Saccharomyces cerevisiae S288C: one gene and its partner. Changing the gene in region 1 together with any one later gene gives a genetic interaction. Each region holds a gene or a part of one and is shown in the gene's direction. Other genes may lie near its edges.

Evidence for each region. A genetic interaction does not mean that the proteins touch.
Region 2: mutations in ASI2 (region 1) and IDP2 together harm fitness more than expected from each alone (negative genetic interaction), as found in Saccharomyces cerevisiae (one large-scale study listed by BioGRID).

What each region holds. Positions count from the first base shown.
Region 1 is NC_001146.8:334,000-342,427, reverse strand, and holds ASI2 (Asi2p), read left to right. Parts: upstream 1-3,080; coding exon 3,081-3,950; downstream 3,951-8,428. Other genes in the region: YNL155C-A (uncharacterized protein), read left to right, coding at 293-517; NSG2 (Nsg2p), read left to right, coding at 460-1,359; IGO1 (phosphatase regulator), read right to left, coding at 1,570-2,076; PGA1 (Pga1p), read right to left, coding at 2,220-2,816; YGP1 (Ygp1p), read right to left, coding at 4,819-5,883; serine/threonine protein kinase CBK1, read right to left, coding at 7,561-8,428.
Region 2 is NC_001144.5:502,721-506,329, forward strand, and holds IDP2 (isocitrate dehydrogenase (NADP(+)) IDP2), read left to right. Parts: upstream 1-1,870; coding exon 1,871-3,109; downstream 3,110-3,609. Other genes in the region: TAG1 (Tag1p), read left to right, coding at 1-1,527; pseudouridine synthase CBF5, read left to right, coding at 3,414-3,609. UniProt on the Saccharomyces cerevisiae protein: May function in the production of NADPH for fatty acid and sterol synthesis.

The sequences.
Region 1 (8,428 bases):
CCTATAGCTCACTGTTGTCACACTTCCGCCCTAGCTCGAGTCCTTGCTTGTACAAGCTCTTATTACATCTTTATACTCATTTGTAGAACATGCTTTTGCCACCGAAAGGAGGGTGAGGCAGTTTTATGTATATACGAACGTCGCTGGCCACGAGGGGGGAACTTTTCTTTTTATCGGCATGAGATAAAGGGTAGATACGAAATTAGCTAGACATTTAAAATATGAAAGCAAGGAAATTACTAAACTTCGAGATGTTCTTTTCCTTAAACTTCTAGTTGACAGCTCAACATTGATGATAGGGCTTATTGTAGTACCTATTTTATTTGCAATAAAGGGCATAGTAGTTGGCGTGCAAAAGGTAAAGAAAAAGTTTGGAAAGCACTCAAACACAAAGGACCAAAAAGAAGACAAGGACGAAGATAAACGACAAAGTATTTCTCAAAGAAAACAGCATACAGAATGGCCAATAGAGGAGAACCGGATCCAAAGAAGAGCACCGAATCAATCTGCTCTCTGACTAAACCGCAGCTTTATTCATTATATGATGATGACGTCGTGAGATCGGAAGATAACGAAATTTACGAAGAATTGAAACGCTCTGTCTCTATAGATTCTACCAAATATAGTAGAGATCAAACTATTGATTCGACTTTTTACTTGGCCCATAAGGTTGGCGGCTCGCTGCCAAGGAACACAGTATCTTCTAATAATTTGGAAAGGATTTTATCAGCATCATCCATTCACGAAAACTTTCCGTCAAGAACCAGACAAACTCGTCAAAATATTCTTCATTACCTGCAAGCTGTATTAATTTTGTCATTGAGCGGTTTCGCATATCATGAACTGTCCAGAAACTTGCACGATAATCATCTCTTACATCCAGATTTTGCATCGAGACCCCTTCTACTGGGTGTCAAACTTTGTAACTGGCTATCCAATGGGGTTCTGCCAAACTGGTTAGGCTACGGTGTTGAAGGACTGTTATTTGGTTCTGTTGTACCAATTCTGGATAATATTTTTCAAACAGAGGTTGTTAAGAGCTCTGTCCACCATGACAGTTTGACCTCTGTTATTAGAAGTATCAATGCCATGTTGGGAGTCACATTTGGGATCAGGAAAATACAGTGGAACTCCTCTTTGCAGGCGGCAGGGGCATGGGGGCTTCTGAATATTATACTGTGGTTGTTTTTTGACGGCTCAATATCCATGTTAATGAGCTGCATCTGCATTGGGGTGGGTTGTTGTATCTCTTGCTACAAAGATATTATCGACGGTTCCCAATTTTTATATTTCATGGATTTTTATTTCCTTGGTTCTCTAATGTTTGGAAAACTAGGAAGATATCTATATTCTCATTAAAGTCGAAATTCTGACGAGTAAATATTATTAATTAGAAGTACAAGAAGATAACATCAGAATGGCTTATCGTTTATATATAACTAATTAACGTAAACACAGTCAGCCATATGGCTGTAACACTTGACATTTCGAGAAATCACATAATAAGCGTTAAATATAAGAGACCCTTCTCTTTCCCTAAAAAAATATAAAAAAGTACAGGTTGTCTATTTATCTAATGGGTGATTCAGTATACAAACTGGACGACGAAGAGCTGTGGTTCCCCACTGGCGTTGAACTTGTACTACCACCTCCAATAGTACCGTTATTAGACGATGGTGGTCCACTCGATATACTTCCCTCCTTTTGTATCAACGTCGCATTATCTACTACACCAGCGGTTGAGGCAGTTGACGGACAAGTGCTTATCCTTCTTTTTATTATATCTTCTCGTAGTTTGCTGGGATTTGTTAATGGCAGGTTATTCTTTCCATAGTTTATTGGATCATTGTTTTGAATGCCAGCTTTCTGCAAAGCGTAATCACCACTGTCGAAATATTTTCTTTTCTGCATGGTATGCTTAAAAATATCTTTCTTTGATGGCAGCTTTCCGTACATTTTGTATAGCTTCATTTCGTTGGGCGAGAATTTGCTGGTATCAATAGTTCCGCTTTCGCCGTTATTCAGTTTAGTTAAATCTGGGTTACTACTATTGGGAGATAAGTTTTCATTCGACATAGCGGCGAGTTAGATATTCAGGTCCCTTTCTTTCGATAAAAATACCCACTTTAATGAGAAGCATTTGATGGTTAATGGACTTTTTTACGTTCTAGTTGTGATGAGGCCAAGCTATCCAGCCAAAGGGGGCTCAGGCTTCCATACTAAAATTTCAGCAAAAGATCGTTCAATACGTGTGGTGCCCGGGTAACAACAAGCCCTGCTACTAATAGCACCATAACGATTAATGTTGGGTAAATATCCACGGGGATACCTAGCCGAGTGGTGATTAATGAGACTTGTATTGGAACCATGGCATGCTCACTAGGATACGAGTCAGACAAGACCTGGAAAGTCACTAGTATTCTCGCGTAGTCTGACTTAGTTCCCTGAAATTCAGTGAAACGTGGTATTGTGATAGTTTGGAGATTATTAATGGAAATTGGATGTATTGCTGACCAACACACTTTAATCTGATATGTTTCGTCTCGCTGTAAGTCCGCCAGTTCAATATACGTAGTATTATGCAACTCCAAGTCAGTGGTATTGGCCTCGATAGTGATCTGACTCATTGCTTCTCCCGATAGTGATATGGAAGATATCAAGTTTACATCTCTTGCATAAGTAGAGCTGTCTCTTGGTTTTTTGAGGGGAAAGTTGTGAGGAACCTTATATAAGATTGATTCTGTATTAGCGTGTACAAATCCGATGAAAAATACAATTGTAGCGATAAACCAGTGAACATTCTGAGGCCGGACCATCTTCTTTTTAAAAATTGAACGAACCTATGTTGGCTTAGTGTGTGCGAATACCAAGGGTCAACAACATTGCTGTGCAGTTAATCTTCATATTCATGTAAACTTCTCATTTTTTCATTGCATATTAGTTTCCGTCATTGATGATCTTTTATAACAATAGTGAGAGGAAACAACTCCCTCTACCTTCAAATAGGGTCGATTCGGGAATATGATTAAAGAGACACCGAATCAAACGCATACATCCTCACAAGCATTTAGTGAGAAAAAATGGCGAGGCCTCAAAATCATCGCCGCAGTAATTGGACAGAAAGAGACGATAATGATGATTATCTGTTTCAGCGATTTCTAGAAGAATCGGAAACGAGGCATAGTAGAGAGCCTTCACCTGTAACCGAGCAATCTCAGCAAGAACTACAGCAGGATGTACAGCAAGCAATCGATGGAATATTTAACTCCCTTAGGAGGAATATGAGTTCTACTTCAAATATAAATAGAGCAGCTAATATGGATGCAACCACAAACGGAAATGGAGGAATCAATGCAGACACTATAAGAGCCACCAACGCCAATACGGCCGATTCCCCATTCACAGCAAGGCAGCAGAGCCCTCTCAGAACTTTTCTTAGAAATTTATTCATTTTAGATTACTTTATTGGGCTAATTTTATTCCCATTTTCCGTATACAACATATTAAGGAGCGGGTTCAATTCAATGACCTTTTCAGAGAATGATTTTATAATCGAAATCGTGGGATACTGGAAATTTGCCAAGATATTTGGTTCTGGTGGCACGACATTAATAGCATATAAGGATACTGGTAAATTAGGGTTGCTTGGAAAGTTTCATAACATCATTGTATTTTACTCTTCACCTGTGATAAAACATATTATGAAAAGTAGAGATGGCAATGAACCCAACTTAAATTGGATAAGACTAATGTTCGCTAAAGCTTTCGAGCTATTTGTCAAAGTCTCTACCATTCTGATCTATTTAGCTTATGGCGTAAGTGGTACCGTTTACATGGTTACCGCTGGGTTTTTCTTCGTATTGTGTCTATTATTCACTGTTATTAGAAGATATAAAGGTGTCCATCGAATGTTGGTGAGCCAAAGGATTACAGGGCCAGGCGTATTCTGATGATGAATCCACGATTATAATTTGTGTATTTGCTTATCTGTAGTAGTTTCTTTCGCATGTGGTCGCTGTATGAGACACTTGACACCAGAGGACGTTTATTTTGAAGCAACTCCTCTATGTAAGAGCTGTTTGCAAGCTTTCCGTACTGTGACACTTGACCATCATAACGTATATTAACGAACTACTAGGGTTGTTGTGGGCTTCTTTCAAAATGGGAATTGTTAAAAACTATTGATAAACGCCACTCACTACATGCATTGATTGTAAGATTTAACTATCCTTTTTACCTGATGTCTCGAAAATAAGCGTTTACAACAACTACTATTTTGCCGTTCTAGTTTAAAACATGGACGCTATAAAACACTAAATATATCAGAAGATTTCACTTAGACACAAAAGAAGGGGGTGAGATCCCTTATCTGTAGTAAAATGTATACAAATTATACGGACATTGTTTCTTTATTGTATCCATGTATACATGTGGGGTCTTGACACTTACAGGTAGTGAATGCTAGACCTTCGAGACTTAAGGTGAGCAATGTTTTAAAACTTTTCTTTTTTTCCCACTTCAGTGGAGTGTCACCCCGGGAAGATATTCACCTATGGTCAATGTAGCAAAAGATAATAAAAAAATATGTATGGCCAAGAATTTATATGATTCTTTCATCAATTAATTAATTAATTATTTGGGGTATGTCTTAAATAACAATAAAAAGGTGTATAAAACAATCATACTGCTTTAATGGGAAGTATGGTTCCTATTACGAACGAAAATAAAAGCTGTTGCGTGGAAATTTTGTAAAATAATGGTTATGATGACTGGTAAAAAAAGAATCTCTATGCTTCGCTAGATTTAATATCTATCAGTTCATGGGAAAATGCTTTCCAGAGCGGACTTGGAGGTGACACCATTAACGGCAGCAATGGACAACAAGATTTGGGCCTTAATTGGGGATAGGTAACCAGCACCCACAGCGTTCTTTGGAACATCTTTGTTGTCAATAAAGTTTAATGGAGTGTTAGCTTGAGCATATACGACTGGGATTTCAGTGCTTTCAATAGTAGATGAGGTTGAGTTGGTAGAACCAGAAGAAACAACAACCAAACCTTGAACGGCAGAACTCAAGGAGTCAATCAAACTGGAAGAGTAACCACCGTCATAGACAATTGGAACAATTGGAACACCGTTTTCTAATAGACCATAAGGAGTAGTGAAGTTACTGTATTCCTTTCTGATAATCGAGTCAGAAGAGATTAAAGTTGGCTTAGAAGCATCGAAGAACCATTTAACTTCGTCTTGGTCATCAACGATAGCAACAGGCAAACCAGCACCGTAAGAACAAGCAGTAGGTGGAGTGAAGACACCGGAGTACACTAATTTGTCAGAAGTGACGGACAAGACACCACGTTTGGTAGCGTTCTTATTGTTAGCGACTGGAATGGCATAAGCGGAATCTTCAGTGACAACAATAGGCTTTTCGGTGTCAAAAATGATAGAGAAGAAGAATGAGACAGCTTCCAAAGATTTGGCGTTGGCAACAACAACGGCACCGGCGGATGACTTATCTTGGATCGTTTCGTTAACAACACGGGCAACATTGTACAATTCGGTAATGTTCAAAGCAGAAGAACTGTTGAATAATCTGGTGTAGTTTGTGTGGGTCAAAGAACTGTTGGTGATTGGTACTTGACCACCTGTTACAATGATTTGTAATTGACTGCTTTCGGCAGTAGTAGTATTGGTAGTACTGTTTGTTCCATTAGCGTAGGTAACATTGCTAGAGTTAGACCCATTCCAGGCCGGCAAAGTGGAGTTGATATTCTTACTGTGAGATGCCTTAACAGCCCTGTATTTGAATAGGTTTTCGATTGGGCTTGCGACGACGGCAGATGAACATGCCAAAAGGGCAGATAAAACAACTTGGAACTTCATTTTCTATTACTGTATTACTTAACTGACGATTAATCCTGTAGATGTTTTTTGAGCTGATTTTTTACAAGCAAGAAAGAAATAGAAGGGATATTCAATAAGAGCAATAACCCAAGAGAACACAGCAGAAGTTCTAGCAAATGTCACCCTCTATCAAGCTTTTTATATTTCAGAGATGATGGTTTTTTTAGTGAGGTACTTTTTTCTCCCTTTTTCCTAATTATTACTAATAGGGTAAAAGAGATATAATAGGCGCTTTCTTTCTTCAAAGTATCGATGTTGAACTGTAGCATCGAGAAGCCGGCTTCACTCCCTACTGAGATTCTTCGGAGTTTGAAGATGCAATAGAGTACGAATATATCCCTTTTCAGCTCCTGAGCCTCTCCATTAGGAAAAGTATAAACTTTCGTCAACTTCTGCGCTAATTTTCGGCCCCTTCTTCGAGAAGTTTCGATTCGTAAAGGGTAAACTATTTAGACAGTGTACCCTTTTTGGGCTCATGTGTCTCTTGGACACATAACATGTCCACATAACATGCCCCGATTGGGTAAAAGTGAGAGACTTTTTCGCCCGCCGGATCTTCCGCGGATGACGAGAAAACTTCGCAAAAAAAAAAGTCACAAAAAAGTCACATAATAAACCAACGAATGGCCGATGTTTTACGGGTAAGCAAAAGTTTCGACGGTGAGAAAAAAACTCATGTGTCTTCAATCCCACATCAAGGCCCCTTCCTCTGGAAAGAGATCCCAATTAGGGATACCCGATCCGAGAATTTGAACATTGTGAGAACATTGAATCAATGATACCGAATGTTTAGCCCTCGCCGCCACATTACCCAATAGGGAATTGAAATGGAAATCGACTACTGAATTTTCCTATTGCTCATTTTTCTCTTTCCTTCAAACCATCGTCGGTAAAAGAAGGGAGTGAAGGGAAAAGCCAAAGATGATTAGGGATTCCGTCAGACATTCCTAAATTTGCCCTTTTTAAAAAATAGCACGCTTTAAGATATGCGTGTGGAACTAGTTCATCATGGTTTGACCTATCCCGAACGCTTTTGTTTCTAGCAATATTTGGTTATGACGATCTTTCAAGCGACGATTAATGAACTTGAAAGTGTAGGTTTTACAGTGATCGGTTGTCGAACCTCCGCTATCGTCTTCCCTGAGTTTCATTCAGTATTGTAAGACTGGATCATCTTATAATTTATAGTTCGAAAGGCCGAGAGGAAGCGCGTGATGAAAGCACGATCTTTTCTCTTTTACGACGTGTTAATAACAAAAATTATATATTCTTACACGTGTGTATGTTATTTCATATTTTTTTCAATATGGTCGATATATATAGATACTTCCTCTACAAAATCGTCCCCTGATCTGCCATCTCTTTTACCTTTTTCAACTACATCAGCCATTTTTCTTGTTTTTCAAGGTAAAAAAACCAGCCATCACCGAGATTGTGCTATTGTGCGTGGATGTATGGATTAAGGGCAGCCTGTAGGTTACTAGGTACATTGTCTTCGGAAAGGTGGTCGTTCAAATACTTCAAGGAGACATATGATAAAGCTGATGTCTATTTTGGTAATTTTTTTCCCGAAAAAAGTGCAGTTATTTATTCATAATGTGCGTTCTACATCCATAGATAAATACTTGAATAAAGAGGAATGTCCTTAACGCGTCCCTACAACGCATTTTTTCTTGTCAAATAGTCAAATCTGGAGTAAGTGTAGCCAATAAAAGGTAAATCTTCCTTGACTGGCGCACTTCCACCTTGCTTTGTCATCTGTTCCCTTTGTTTGGCAGCTTGTGCCATAGCTGGGGAATCTGGAACATTCTCCAACTCATCGGTTGGGAAGAACCTAGTATCGGTGATGGAGCTCAACTTTGGTATATACGGTGCTTCTACTTGTCTGATTGTATTCCAATCAACACCGCGAAAAAATGGATGACTTTTTATTTCATCTGCACCACCATGTCTACCAAGTCTTTGGTCTGCATGAGTTAATAGTCGACGGATTAGATCTTCGGCTTCATAAGAGATATGAATATCATCAGGAAATTGTAGAGTTTGCTCAAAATTCATGATTTTTCTGTACGTTTCCTGTGGAGTTTCGGAACAGAATGGAGGCCAACCAATCAGACACTCGTACATAATTGCTCCAAGTGACCACCAATCACACTCTTGCCCATAACCTTGGTATAAAAATATCTCAGGAGCAATATAATCTGGTGTACCTACGGTAGAATATGCCATTAAACGACGTGATTTTCTCCATGTCTGAATTTGTTGCCTGTTTGACATTGTTAGACTAATAGAATCCACAACCATTGTTTGCCTTTTATTTGCAGTATCGGTTGTATTTGCATTGTAAGTACCTGGCTTGGAAATACCATTAGTTGCCTCATCTTGTTGCAAAAGCTTTTTATAGTAGTTTGAGTCGTGAGTTTTATGGAACCCCGTAGACAACCCGAAATCAGATAATTTTATATGACCTCTAATATCGATCAAAATATTATCTGGTTTAATATCTCTGTGAATGAATCCTAAT
Region 2 (3,609 bases), on another chromosome or scaffold:
CAGCTTGATGGTTGGAAAGATAATATGGGCTCTGACCTGAACAATGATACAGGTAAGTATTTGCAGGTGTCTATACACTCTCAAATTTGGTTCGATTATGACAAATGGCCAGGAACGGAAAATGACTCGGACGCCAGAAGCCAACGTGACTGGATACGGTACATCAATGAAAAAGTTCTTAAAACCATTTGTATAGATCTGAATAACGTGACCACATTCGATGGAGATCTAGTGTTCAAGAATAAACTGGGAGATGTTGTTGGCATGGAACCCATTTGTTTTAATTTGGCTCACCGACAGATTAATAACCTACAGTTCAAAATTTTAGTTAAACCGTCTATTTGGAAAATCGTAAAAGTTTTGAAAAAATTTTGGAATAGGGATTTTGAATCCTTAAATATAAAATCGAATTTAGATATGACTATCTTCAAGAGAAAATTTGGCACGAGGTTTAATTTATTGAAACTTAATGACGAAATCTTAGATTGGAAAGATATTATTGATTGGGAAAAAATATCGGCAACGCCCCTTCGGATGATTCAAAATATGATCGATGGAATATCTCTTCAAGGATTTACATTGCGGGACTCCAGTTCTGATGGATTTCATGCCGATATGAGACTGAATCCGATCACGATTCTTGGAGGGGTGGACTGGCTTCACCTTCCGCCAGGCACGTCAATCCCTTTCATCAATTGGGAAATCAAGCTACCGGACTGTAACGGTGAGCCTGCTATCGCAATTCCAACCTTGTCTTGCTTTAACGAACCGATTAATCTGCACCACGACAAGGATAATATCGTCGTCTGTTTACAAAATGAAATTGAAGGTCCTCTGCCCGATGAACTACTATACCAAGAATGTCCTCAAAATAGTCTTACACCAATGAGCCAAATAGTGAATGCGGTCCTGAACCAGAACGAGACTGTTACGTTCGCAGCAAGAGGCCATGTCCTTGAAGATGGTATAGATAATAACTCATTGATTCCAGCAGACATGCTGGAGGATATTTTCCAAGAAGCATCGTTTATTCCCATTACTACCAATGCTACGTTTAACTCCAGTGAATTGATTCAAGAGTTTCAGATCAACGATCTTCAGCTACGGTGGGCAGCGCGCAAAAAGCTCAGTCTTGTGGGGACATTTTTAGGATTCTTTGATCTATCCTTCTACGAGACGCACCAGCAAGACCGAGTTCGCATCGATACCATTCGGGGACAGATCGATCTGTACCATAACGACATCAATTTCTTAAACTTACCCATGAAGCAATGGATCAACTCTTCATCGCACATTCTGCACGATGAGGACACAGGAAATACGCAGATGAAGCTTCAATTTGATCTAGAAAATGACGACATGGAAGTCGTCAATAGCTTGGAACTAACACGAACCCTGAACGAAATACTATTCCAGGGTTTTACAGTTATTCACTTTAATGCGACGATAGATGCGTCACTTACGACGGCATTGGGCCCGTGGGTTCTCACCGGGTTAGCCGGAGAGGGTGACACTTTGGTCACGTGAACGTCTATCTATTTATTTTTATAACTCCGGGATGTCATTGCCGGTGGTCCGAAAATCGGCAAATAAGGAAATAAGGGAAGAATATGCAGTAGTCAAATCATCAGTGTTCTCTTTGATACCTTTCAGGGCTAGGAATAGTGGGGGTGGAGTATAATATCAAAAACCGGACTTAACATTATTGGTTCGGTTGGAATTGGCTATAGGCAAACTAGTCTCCGGCATGATATATAAATGACAGCCTGCAATTGTATGTTACTACACTCTTGACTTGTCGACTACAGTCGCTGCTCAGGCACGAGAATAGGAGGTAAGAAGGTAACGTACGTATATATATAAAATCGTAATGACAAAGATTAAGGTAGCTAACCCCATTGTGGAAATGGACGGCGATGAGCAAACAAGAATAATCTGGCATTTAATCAGGGACAAGTTAGTCTTGCCCTATCTTGACGTTGATTTGAAGTACTACGATCTTTCCGTGGAGTATCGTGACCAGACTAATGATCAAGTAACTGTGGATTCTGCCACCGCGACTTTAAAGTATGGAGTAGCTGTCAAATGCGCGACTATTACACCCGATGAGGCAAGGGTCGAGGAATTTCATTTGAAAAAGATGTGGAAATCTCCAAATGGTACTATTAGAAACATTTTGGGTGGTACAGTGTTCAGAGAACCTATTATTATCCCTAGAATTCCAAGGCTAGTTCCTCAATGGGAGAAGCCCATCATCATTGGGAGACACGCATTCGGCGATCAGTACAAAGCTACCGATGTAATAGTCCCTGAAGAAGGCGAGTTGAGGCTTGTTTATAAATCCAAGAGCGGAACTCATGATGTAGATCTGAAGGTATTTGACTACCCAGAACATGGTGGGGTTGCCATGATGATGTACAACACTACAGATTCGATCGAAGGGTTTGCGAAGGCCTCCTTTGAATTGGCCATTGAAAGGAAGTTACCATTATATTCCACTACTAAGAATACTATTTTGAAGAAGTATGATGGTAAATTCAAAGATGTTTTCGAAGCCATGTATGCTAGAAGTTATAAAGAGAAGTTTGAATCCCTTGGCATCTGGTACGAGCACCGTTTAATTGATGATATGGTGGCCCAAATGTTGAAATCTAAAGGTGGATACATAATTGCCATGAAAAATTACGACGGTGACGTAGAATCAGATATTGTTGCACAAGGATTTGGCTCCTTGGGGTTAATGACATCTGTGTTGATTACCCCGGACGGTAAAACCTTTGAAAGCGAAGCCGCCCACGGTACAGTAACAAGACATTTTAGACAGCATCAGCAAGGAAAGGAGACGTCAACAAATTCCATTGCATCAATTTTCGCGTGGACTAGAGGTATTATTCAAAGGGGTAAACTTGATAATACTCCAGATGTAGTTAAGTTCGGCCAAATATTGGAAAGCGCTACGGTAAATACAGTGCAAGAAGATGGAATCATGACTAAAGATTTGGCGCTCATTCTCGGTAAGTCTGAAAGATCCGCTTATGTCACTACCGAGGAGTTCATTGACGCGGTGGAATCTAGATTGAAAAAAGAGTTCGAGGCAGCTGCATTGTAAACTTACTCAATGACAGATTGATTTATTTATATTATATATTCCCTTTTTATCGAAAAACTTTTAGTATTTTCTACTCGTAACATATGATCTTCTGTTCTCACTGAAAATTTTTCTTTCTTCTTTTCCCTCTTCGCAAAAAGAAAATGCTGAAAAAATTTGAAAAATTTTCAAATGATGAGATGTTTAGCTTAGGAAAAATATAATGTAAAGATAGTTTTCAGAACATTTTTTATTGGTTTTTTTTTTTAAAGATTCATTATCATCTGGAGTTCGTTACAACCTACACAGAGGACCGATATACACAATGTCAAAGGAGGATTTCGTTATTAAGCCTGAAGCTGCAGGTGCTTCCACTGACACTAGTGAATGGCCATTACTTTTGAAGAATTTTGATAAGTTATTAGTCAGAAGTGGTCATTATACCCCTATCCCAGCTGGTAGTTCACCACTAAAGAGAGACCTGAAATCATATATCAGCTCTGGTGTCATTAATCTAGATA